Macaca mulatta: one gene and its partners. The protein of the gene in region 2 binds, or shares a complex with, the protein of the main gene of each other region. Links are inferred from orthologs where the notes say so. Each region holds a gene or a part of one and is shown on either strand. Other genes may lie near its edges.

Region 1 (3,649 bases), on a different chromosome or scaffold from region 2:
TCTTAGTAGAGACAGGGTTTCACCGCTTCGGCCAGGCTGGTCTCAAACTCCTGACCTCAAGTGATCCACCCACCTTGGCCTCCCAAAGTGCTGGGATTACAGGCGTGAGCCACTGTGCCGGCCTCTCCTAGCTAATTTACATTTTAAATTTAAGTTGTCACACATGGCTGTGGCCACCATATGGACAGTGTGGGTCTGGCTGCATGTGTCAGGCTGTGTCACATGTTAGGCTGTTGGCTGTGGCTGTCCCCACTGTGCACCTTTGCTTCTGCGGTCTCGTTTCCCGAACTTCTCTGCCTGTCAGAACCCCATGACACACCCCCATTGTAAAGCCTTCTCTGGCTTTCCTGCATCCGTTAGGAAGGTATATGGATGCCGCCGCGGCCAGCCCTCTGCAGTGTGTGCGTGGTGTCCCTCAGACTTTGTGCCTGTAGCTGCCCTTGGCCTTTGCATGGCTCCGCCAGCATCCCAGCCATACTGTGGCCAAGCTTGGGGCTTCCCTTGACTCCATGTCCGCACCAGGTGTCCCGTTGCTGGCTCTGCCACAGAAACTCTCCAAAGGGCTCTTTCTACCCACTCCTGTGAGCTTTTTCTCCACCGGAAACTGTGTTAAGGTCACCTTTGACCTCATCATTGTTCTGCAGGTTACCATTCCCCCTTTTTAAAAGATTGTGGTGAAATAATACATGACCTAAAATGCGCCATTTGAACCACCGTTGGGCGTGCAGTGCCGTGGCATGAAGTATGTTCACAGTGCTGTGCAGCCATCGCCACCTTCCATCTCTAGAACTGTGCCCTGCTCTTCCCTCTCCGCCCCTGGCAGCCGCCATTCCGCTCTCTGTCTCTGTGGCTTTGAGGGCTCTAGGTACCTCATATTTAAGTGGAATCCTACAGTGTTTATCTGTTTGTGACCACTGTAGATCACTTGGCGTAATGTCCTCCAGGTTCAGCCGTGCCATAGCTCTGGCAGGGTTTCCTTCCTTTTTAAGGCCATGTGACATTCCAGTCCCACCTTGCTAAAGTAGTTTGTTCACCTGGTCACTGGGGTGACCCTGGAGCTCCCTTCTGGCCTCACTGCCTGAGCTTGGTCACCTTGGCTAGCTGTCCTCCCTTCTCCACCTCTGAGCCTGCAAGGGCTGTACTCCACAGAGGTCCCATGTGCCATCCCTGACAGCAGCGCTTGGCTCTGCTGCAGTGGCCCGTCCCCGTGAAGGCTTCGCAGGCACTCACTGAGCCTCCTTTCCTCCCCTGCTCACTCCTCCTCTGCACTCTGCACCCCCACCCGCACTGTGCCGCTTCACCATCTGCCACCCTGGCCCGGGCCACTGTCCCTTCCTGTTCAGATCAGTCAGCAGGGTGCCTCAGCTTGTTCCCCACCTCCACCCTGGCCCCCGCCATCTTTTCTGCACATGGGCATGACTGAACATTTTCAAGTGAAATTCACATTCTCTCATGTCTCATCAGAACCCCCAAAGCCTCCCCAGTCTCTGATAACATATCCAGGGTCTTTTGGTGGCCTGGAGGAGCTGTAAGATCTGCTTCCTAAAGCCTCCACCCTGTCTGCTGCTCCTCTCCAAACACCGGACCCTACATGCCCCTCCGGCAGTACAGCACCCACCCTGCCCTTCATCTCTTGCTTGGCCCGTAAGCCAGTCCTTCCAGGCTCCTCTGGTCATTCCCCACGCGGGCCTCTCGCAGGAAGCAGTTTTCCTGTGTCCGCCCCCCACCCCCTGCAGGAGGTAAGCTGCGGAGGGAAGCGTTGTGTCACCTAGTGCCTCGCCTCACACGGAGCAGGTGCCCAGCAGATATGTATTGGGTGGAGGACCCTCTCCCCGTGGCCTTTTATCTGTTTGTTCCCACGGGGTTTGCCATGTTTGGCTGCAGTTCATGTCACTCGAGGACATTCCTTCCCTGTGCCATTGGCTTTTCGACTCTGGCTCTGTCACAACTCCAGCTGTGCTATCACTGGTCCACATCGTCCCCTCCCCTGTTTCCTGTGACTCCGGTGGGAAGATCCTGTCTCTGTTCCTCTCCTCTCGCCTGCATCCAGTGCAGCACTGGGGCAAAGCAAGGGGATGGGGAACTGGCGGGTGGCCTCTCCTGGGCAGGCAACCATGGCACCCAGGTGCTCCCTGTGCTCCAGAGGGGCTGGGGAGGTTTCATGGGGTGAATAGGCATTGGTGAGCTGACATGTCCCCTGTCCTCCGCAGGCCTCTCGCAGTCTCCAAGGCACCATGAATGCCATCGTGGCTCTCTGCCACTTCTGTGAGCTCCACGGCCCCCGCACTCTCTTCTGCACGGAGGTCCTGCACGCCCCACTTCCCCAAGGGGCTGGGAATGAGGACAGTCCTGGCCAGGGCGAGCAGGCGGAGGAAGAGGAAGGCGGCATTCAGATGAGCAGTCGGATGCGTGCACACAGCCCCGCAGAGGGGGCCAGCGTTGAGTCCAGCAGCCCAGGGCCCAAAAAGTCGGACATGTGCGAGGCAAGTGTCTTTGGGGTCTTCGTTTTGCGATCCCTGCAGTAGGTGTGGGATGGACGGGAGGACCTGAGAGCAGTGGATGGAGCCTCCCAGGGTGACACAGACTGCTTCTCAGGGGCCCTTCAGTTCCTTCTGCTTGTCCTGACTGTAGCTTTTGTTTGTTTGTTTGTTTTTGAGACAGAGTTTTGCTCTTGTTGCCCACGCTGGAGTGCCATGGTATGATCATGGCTCACTGCAACCTCCGCCTCCCAGGTTCAAGCAATTCTCCTGCCTCAACCTCCTGAGTACTGGGATTACACGTGGCTGCCACCACGCCTGGCTAATTTTGTGTCTTTAGTAGAGATGGGGTTTCACCATATTGGGCAGGCTGGTCTTGAACTCCTGACCTCAGGTGATCCACTTGCCTTGGCCTCCCAAAGTGCTGGGATTACAGGCGTGAACCATCTTGCCCCGCCTGTGTTAACTTCTTTAACCCACTCTGCCTCCCTGCCATGGCCTTCATGTTTGTATTCACACACTCCAGCCTGTCCTGGAGGCAGGTCCCCAAAGACCCCTGTTCCCAGCGGAGTTTCCTGCTCCCAGCGGAGTTTCCTGCTCCCAGGACCCCCAGTGTTCTCGGCGGGTCACTCCATCAGCTCTCGATCTCTTGGGAATGAGTGTGAGTTTTCCCCCGTGGGCCACTTGTTTGTGTGGAAGACCTGGGTCAGGGCCCGAAATCAGGGCTGAGTGTCGGACCTGTCACTGCAGTGCAAACAGGAACCCAAGCTTGTTCTTTTGGTTCCGCTGCAGAAGCAGAGGACGTGTGAGAGCTGCGTCCATTGCTGGAAACGCCTGTGAGGAATGGGGGGTGGGGAGCACCTCAGACCGGGGAAGGAGGGCACTGCCAGGCCGCTGGGGCGTCCTTGAGCTGGTGTTGGGGTTGCCCTTGGAGGAATCCTGTGACATTGTGGGGAGGGGCTTGCCTGACGCACTGCCACGCAGTCTTGGGGTCGGGGCAGCTCCAGGGCGTGCAGCCTCAGCACCGGAGTGACGGTGGCTGCAGTGGGGCAGCGAGGCAGTGGGGCTGCCGGGGTGAGCTGCCACACCAACATCCTGGAGCTTGGTGCCCGGCCTGTTCTTTATTAGGCCTCTCGCCTGTGCTGAGGCCCCTTCCAGGTGTTATTTCAGAG
Region 2 (3,649 bases):
AAAGTTTCCTTATGCCTTTTTGTAATCTCTTCCTCTTCCTCCCCCTCTTCTTCTCCCCAGTTTCTCTGTTCCTCTTCCACCATCCCTACACAGCCACTGGCTTACTTTCTGTCATGATAGATTACTTGCATTTTCTAGAGTTTTATATGAATGGAATCATGCAGTATATACTTTGCAGATTCACCTATTTTGTGTGTATTAATAGTTTATTCCTTTTTAATGCTGAGTAGTATTCCATTGCACTGACTTTTTAAAAATCAAATTATTAGTAGTATTTTTTAAATTGGGACATTTAAATCCTTTTTTAATTCTACAGTCATTTGTTCACTATCTAAGGCTCTGTGCTATAAAGATGAATGATTTGGAAATTGCCCTCAAGAAGTCAGCAGTCTAAGACTGTAGGTAATATATATGCAGACAACAATAATAATTCAAGGAGGAACTATAAGAGAAATGAAAAGTTTAGTAGGAGTTGAACAGGGGAGCCTACTTTTGCCCAAGTGAGGATGCTTAGGTGGGAAGCTATGGACTGGCAGAGATATTGAGGAAAGGGACAGGACATCACATGAGTAAAGAGTAGGTGTTAAAAGTGCAGAGCATATTCAGTGGTCCAGTTTAACTGGGTCTTTGCATGAATAAAGATGATTTCTTCTTCTGACTGCCAAGAAGGAGGATAAGTATAAGAAGATAAAGCTGGAAAAGTAAAATGGGAATCATGAAAGACTCACTTGCCATACCAAAGTAATTTCAACTTACTTGGTAATTCGTGGGAATCGTGGGAGTAATTTAGAACAGTGGCATGGTGATATTTGAGCCAGTGTGTTAGCCAGAGGAGAAAATTTATCATAATAATACCTATAGCATGTATTTATTTGAGACCTATTTATATTTGTTCCTTTAAAAAGTGTGAGGGCTTTGTAAAGTAAAAATAGAGGATTTTAAATGTATATACTAACAACTTGCAAAAATTAAATTAAGTTGAAATTAGTGGCTTTGTATTCTCCTTTTTCTTTTCTTTCTTTCTTGAGACAGGGTCTCACTGTATCGCACAGGCTAGAGTGCGGTGGTGCGATCACAGTTCACTGCAGCCTCAGCTTCCTGGGCTCAGGTGATTCTTCCACCTTTTCCTCTCAAGTAGCTGGGATTACAGGAGCAAGCCACCATGCCCAGCTAATTTTCTGTATTTTTTTGTAGAGACGAGAGTTTTGCCATGTTACCCAGACTGGTCTTAAACTGCTGGGCTCGAGTGATCAGCCTGCTTCCACCTCCCAAAATGCTGGGATTACCTGCATAAGCCACCATGCCCAGCCCTGTTCTCCATAGTTTTGGCACTGAAATTACTGGTTTAATTTGAAGTATAGCATAAATATAGAAATGATAATTTCTAGTCCTGACCCCCTCACTTCCCCTGCTTTTAACATAATCGCTAGTCATGTTTAGAATGGGTTCAAAAGTGAAAATGAATTGCATGGCTAAACTCGTTGCCCTTTCTTTTCCTTTTAGTAAGGATGAGTCTCTCTCTTCCTGCCCCTTCTGGCCTATCCTGTGTACCCAACCCTCTAGGGAATGGAAGGGGAAAATAGGCTCTTACTAACATGGGAGCTGGTGGGATGGGGTGCTGGCTAGGGGAACAACAGTTAAAGTTTAGAGATATGACTTACTTTTTAATTTTATTTCTTTTTTTCTTTTTTTTTTTTTTTGAGACGGAGTCTCACTCTTGTCGCCCAGGCTGGATTGCAATGGTGTCATCTCAGCTCAATGCACCCTCTGCCTCCTGGGTTCAAGCAATTCCCCAGCCTCAGCCTCCCGAGTAGGTGGGACTACAGGCATCCACCACAACACCTGGCTAATTTTTGTATTTTTAGTAAGTACAGAGTTTTACCATGTTGGCCAGGCTGGTCTTGAACTCCTGATATCAAGTGATCCACCCATCTCGGCCTCCCAGAGTGCTGGAATTACAAGCGTGAGCCACCGTGCCTGGCCCCAGAGATATGATTTAAATCAGGAATGATTAAGTGTGTGGTGTGACTACTCTAGCTTTGCTCCATTTTACCGCTACTCCTTTCCTGTCCTTGCAAGCCAGCAGATATTGTGCTTTGTCTTTTCTTGATTGGACACAGCTGCAGGGTCCTTGTGTACATAGTACTTCAGGCAGTACTTCTCTAACCAGGTAAAAATGCTCTTCATGGAGCCTGGGTTAAAGAATATTCTTGGGATATATGAGTTTCAGAACTGACTCTTTGCTTGAGGTTTCTGAACCATAGCATTTGTTTAAAGAGGAAGCCTGAAAACCCTTAAATTCACCTTTCTCTCTGGTTAAGACTATTCATCTCATCTTCCTCCCTTGAATAGTCACTCATCTGTTAAAGAACTAAGAATGAGGCCAGGCATGTTGGCTCATGCCTGTAATCCCAGTACTGTGGGAGGCCAAGGCCAGTGGATTGCTTGAGCCCAGGAACTCAAGATCAGCCTAGGAAACATGGCAAAACTCTGTCTCTACAAAAAAAAATACAGATAATTAGCCAGGCGTGGTGGCACATACCTATAGTCCCAGCTACTCAGGAGGCTGAGGTAGGATAATTACTTGAGCCTAGGAGGCTGAGGCTGCAGTGAACCATGACTGTACCACTGTACTCCAGCCAGGATTACAGTGTGAGACCCTGTCTCAAAAAAAAAAAAAAAAAAAAAAAAAGTAAAACCTAAACAACTACTCATACAGTAAGATTAGGTTTCTGATCATTAAAAATAGCTTACTTAGCTGTGTCAGTAAAGGATGTGTCCAATAACTGATTTTTCCATTACAGGAGACTTGTATGGCGCTATTGGCTCTCCTGTACGGTTAGCAAGGACTGTGGTAGTTGGCAAACGACAAGACATGGTCCAGAGGCTACTTTATTTTCTTACTTATTTTATAAGATGCTCTGAACTTCAAGAAACGCATCTTTTAGAAAATGGAGAAGATGAAGCCATCGTTATGCCAGGCACAGTAATTACTACCACTTTAGAGAAAGGTGAAATAGAAGAATCGGAGTATGTCCTTGTCACAATGCATAGAAACAAAAGCAGTTTGCTCTTTAAAGAGTCAGAAGAAATAAGAACTCCCAGTTGTAACTGTAAATATTGCAGTCATCCACTCCTTGGGCAAAATGTAGAGAACATTTCACAACAAGAGAGAGAAGATGCTCAAAACAGCTCTAAGGAGCTGCTAGGAATTTCAGATGAGTGCCGGATGATTTCTCCTTCTGACTGCCAAGAAGAAAATGCTGTTGATGTTAAACAGTACAGAGATAAATTAAGAACTTGCCTTGATGCCAAGTTAGAGACGGTTGTTTGCACAGGATCTGTTCCAGTAGACAAATGTGCATTGTCAGAGTCAGGCTTAGAGCCAACAGAGGAAACATGGCAGAGTGAGAAGTTGCTGGATTCAGACAGTCACACAGGCAAAGCAATGAGATCCACAGGAATGGTTGTGGAGAAAAAACCTCCAGATAAGATTGTGCCTGCTTCATTTTCTTGTGAGGCTGCCCAGACAAAGGTTACTTTCCTGATTGGGGATTCTATGTCACCTGATTCAGATACTGAGCTTCGAAGTCAGGCAGTGGTGGATCAGATTACCAGACATCACACCAAACCGTTGAAGCCAGAAAGA
Region 3 (3,749 bases), on a different chromosome or scaffold from region 2:
TAAGGAATCCAGGGTAGGTGAGAGAATCAATATAGGGGCCAGATCCCCATAAGAACGATATATAAACCATGATGCTGATATTGAACTTTATAATAAAGTTGATTTTCAAGAAAGGAGTTAAATGATCCGATTTGGGTTTTTAGAACATCATTTTTGTTGCTCTATGGAGACTGGAGGGCAAAAGAGAATGTAAGAAGAATAGGAGGTTATTGTCAAGAGAGAGATGATCATGGCTTGCACTAGGGTACGAACATAGATAGGTGACTAGTTTTCAAAGATAGGAGGTAGAATCAACAGAACTCTGATTAGATTTGTGACATGCAAGCAGCAATTAAAAACCAGGCTAAAATTTTCTGAAAATTTGGCTATGAAAGGGAGTAGAGGAAAAACAGGGTGGTAGCTGAAAGAGGATGTGATTTCTAAAGAAGCTTTTCTTTTGAGCATCTCGCTCTGTCACTCAAGCTGGAGTTCAGTGGGGCGATCACCACTCAATGCAGCCTCAAACCCTGGGCTGAAGGGATCCTCATGCCTCAGCTTCCGGAGTACCTGGCGCACGCCACGTAAGGCTAATTCTTTATTGTTGTTATTATTATTAGTAGTAGTAGTAGTAGTAGAGATGGGGTTCTATCTTGCCAGGCTGGTGTGGAACTCCTGGGCTCAAAGGATCGTCCCGCCTCGGACTCCCAAAGTGCTGGGATTACAGGCGTCAGTCACCGCACCCGGCAAGGCTTTTTTTTTTTTTTTTTTTTTTTTTTCCAATTATTATTTATTATATGAGACCTTACTAATTTTTAAAAATTCTGATGTAAAAGGGAACATAGAAAGTACCCGTAATCCCGTGTCTGCATGTTAAAAGTAGACGCTTGAAGTGCTCCAGAAAACCCATGGCTCCTCCCCATTCAATCTAGATAAGGCCTTGAGTAAAGAGCACCCATGGGGAAGTCACAAGAACCTAGGAAACAAGTCAGAAACCTGTGGACCTGATACTTCCAATCACAGGCAATCTGTTGCTTGCTCTTCAGCTCATCACACCATCCCCTCAAATTACTTCATCTACAAGAAAAGGTTTTAAGATAACGGACCCTGAAAAACTAATGACATTTATACACCCTCTCTGCACAAGAATGTCTTGTAACACATAACCTTGCTTGCATTTTCTGGGGTCCTCAGGGTCCAGCGATCTCGTACAAATCCTCTACCCCACAGCTGACGTCCCTCGGCCCGTGACACAAGGCGCAGGCGCAAGACGCGGCCCGCGGTGGGCGGGGGAGGGGCGGGGCGCGTCGGGCGGCCGCGCCCTCGAAGCTTCCGCCAGGCCCTTCCGGAAATCCAGTATCGTGGGGCGACGGCGTAGAAAGTGCTTCCCGGAGCGCCGAAGAGGTCATCAATCATGTGACGGTGGCTTGAGGAGGAACCTGTCTTTAAAGCTGTCCCTGAAGTGACAACGGAGAGAACCAGGCAACCCAGAAACCCCAGGTAACTGGCGCTACTTTGCCTGGTTTGAGGCCTAGTCCCGGAGGTGGCGCGGGTGGTGAGACTAAACAGAAGGAGAGGGCCCCCTCTTCTTTTGTTTGGGCCTAGCTCTTTGGGGTGGAGGGGCAGGGATGGGGTGGGCTGAGGCAAGGCGTGCCAGCTGAGTACCCGTGGGGGTGTTGGGGCACTCCGACTCCCACTGGGCTCGCTGGGCCAAGCCCTAGAACCGCGGGGGTTTTGCCGGGTTCTGACCAGGGCTGATCTTGCTTATTAAGTTGGGGGTGGGGAGGACGAGGAAGCCAAAGAGGTAAGAGTCACCGGGAGTTTCTCTTCCAGGCGTGGAGATTGATCCTGCGAGAGAAAGGGGTTCATCATGGCGGATGTGAGTGACACCCCCACATAAGAGGAAGGGAGAGTGGGGAATTTGGAGGGGAATACTGAGCGGGGAGAGGTAGAAGATCCTCCCATCCCCACCCATCCCAGTTAATTATTTTCTCTTGTATGTGAAATGGGAGACTAATATGAATGAATTTGCAGGATCCTGAGTTTCTGCCTCGAATGGGGGTGGAGGACACTAAGGTGCTTGAGACTGAGAAAATTATATTCTCCCTCCTCACCAATCCAGCTGGGGTATAAGAGAGGCTCTGTGTATTTACCATTTGAAATTCTGAATGATGGTTCGCTGCTTTTCCTGTCAGAATTTGGTCAGTAGGACATGTACCCAGAATACTTTTTTCCAGTAAGTGGTAACAATATCTTATTAGGTTTATTGTGGCAATTTACGATGATTTCTAACCCATGCCTCTTTAGAAACATAACATGAAATAAAATGAGGGGTGTGTGTGTGTGTGTAGGATGAGAGCAAAAATAAGCCAATAGTCATAACATGAAATAAAATGATCATTCGGGTTTGGAGAATAGTAAGTGTTGGAGGCTCAAAACAACAGATACCTGATTAATCCATGCGAGGTCAAAATTGATACCTCAAGTGTCAGTGAAATTCCTGGGATGAGAGAGTGTAATGAGACAAAATAAGATAATCTTCTGGCCGGTGAGGTGGCTTCGTCTGTAATCTCAGCATTTTGGGATGCCGAGATGGAAGGATCACTTGAGGCTGGGAGTTCAAGATCAGCCTGGGCAACGTAGCAAGACCCCGTTATACAAAAAGAAATTTAAAAACCAGGCGCATTGATAACCCTGTAGTCCCAGCTATGCTGGAAGTGAGGCGGAAGGATTGCTTGAGCCCAGAACTTGGAAGTTGCAGTGAGCCCCAGCTTAGAAAAATAAAATAGTCTTATATTTCTTTAGTCTTAACTGTGTTTAGTGTTAAACACTTGACACACTTCGCCATTTATCTTATATTCTGTAAGTCTGGGCTGGGCGTGGTGGCTCACGTCTGTAATCCCAGCACTGTGGGAAGCCAAGGCGGGTGGATCACCTGAGGTCAGGAGTTCGAGACCAGCCTGGCCTACATGGTGAAACCATATCTCTACTAAAAATACAAAAAAATAAGCTGGGACGTGGTGGTGGGTGCTTATAATGCCAGTTACTCGGAGGTTGAGGCAGGAGAATCGCTTGAACCTGGGAAGCAGAGGTTGCAGTGAGCCGAGATTGCGCCATTGCACTCCAGCCTGGACAGCAAGAGCAAAACTCCCTCTCAAAAACAAAAAAAAAGACTGTTGCCTCACATAGTCATATATAATTTATTTTAGGTCCTTAAACAGAATATTTTAATAATTATGTTATAATAATATGCCTTACACTGTTTCATTATTTGTTGAGTAGGTGAGTTCAACAAATAATGAAACAATGGAAGGCATATTTTTATAATGTGAGACAGCAGTCTTACAGAAGTCATATCACCTTACCCAAGACCATTAAAATGATGGTGGAAAGTCTATCTTTGAACCTGGAAAGGTGTTTATAATGTCTTCTCAAGTGAACACAATAGCAACAGGATATAAAACACTAGTATGAATATTATGATATATTTTTATGGCTAAAATGTATTTGTGTTTCCCATTTCTAGGTATGCTAATCCATGCAACTTCTCAAAAAACTTTAACAGCACTCTTATGATGTAGGTTCTATATTAGCCCTATTCAACAAATAATGAAATAGGCTTAGGGAAAAAAGGTTAGTTAACTTACTCCAAGTTGCATGACTAGTAAACATCCAAATCAGACAGAGAAAGATAAAACACAGCAAGAAAGGTTATGAATGATAACTGAACGTCCCTAAAATTTGGATAGGACAGGATCTAGAAAACAGTGGAA

Evidence for each region.
Region 1: FNIP1 (region 2) and FLCN share a complex: the UniProt entries of both Homo sapiens proteins name them as parts of the lysosomal folliculin complex. The link is inferred for Macaca mulatta from reciprocal best matches to the Homo sapiens genes FNIP1 and FLCN.
Region 3: FNIP1 (region 2) and LAMTOR3 share a complex: the UniProt entries of both Homo sapiens proteins name them as parts of the lysosomal folliculin complex. The link is inferred for Macaca mulatta from reciprocal best matches to the Homo sapiens genes FNIP1 and LAMTOR3.

The regions. Positions count from the first base shown.
Region 1 is NC_133421.1:18,780,974-18,784,622, reverse strand, and holds part of FLCN (folliculin), read left to right. Parts: intron 1-2,210; 5' UTR 2,211-2,234; coding exon 2,235-2,483; intron 2,484-2,661; exon of another isoform or gene 2,662-3,132; coding exon of another isoform or gene 3,133-3,138; intron 3,139-3,649. UniProt on the Homo sapiens protein: Multi-functional protein, involved in both the cellular response to amino acid availability and in the regulation of glycolysis.
Region 2 is NC_133411.1:140,588,460-140,592,108, reverse strand, and holds part of FNIP1 (folliculin-interacting protein 1), read left to right. Parts: intron 1-2,804; coding exon 2,805-3,649. UniProt on the Homo sapiens protein: Binding partner of the GTPase-activating protein FLCN: involved in the cellular response to amino acid availability by regulating the non-canonical mTORC1 signaling cascade controlling the MiT/TFE factors TFEB and TFE3.
Region 3 is NC_133410.1:109,210,930-109,214,678, reverse strand, and holds the start of LAMTOR3 (ragulator complex protein LAMTOR3), read left to right. Parts: upstream 1-1,392; 5' UTR 1,393-1,476; intron 1,477-1,809; 5' UTR 1,810-1,846; coding exon 1,847-1,855; intron 1,856-3,749. Other genes in the region: uncharacterized protein LOC144340815, read right to left, coding at 1,144-1,392. UniProt on the Homo sapiens protein: As part of the Ragulator complex it is involved in amino acid sensing and activation of mTORC1, a signaling complex promoting cell growth in response to growth factors, energy levels, and amino acids.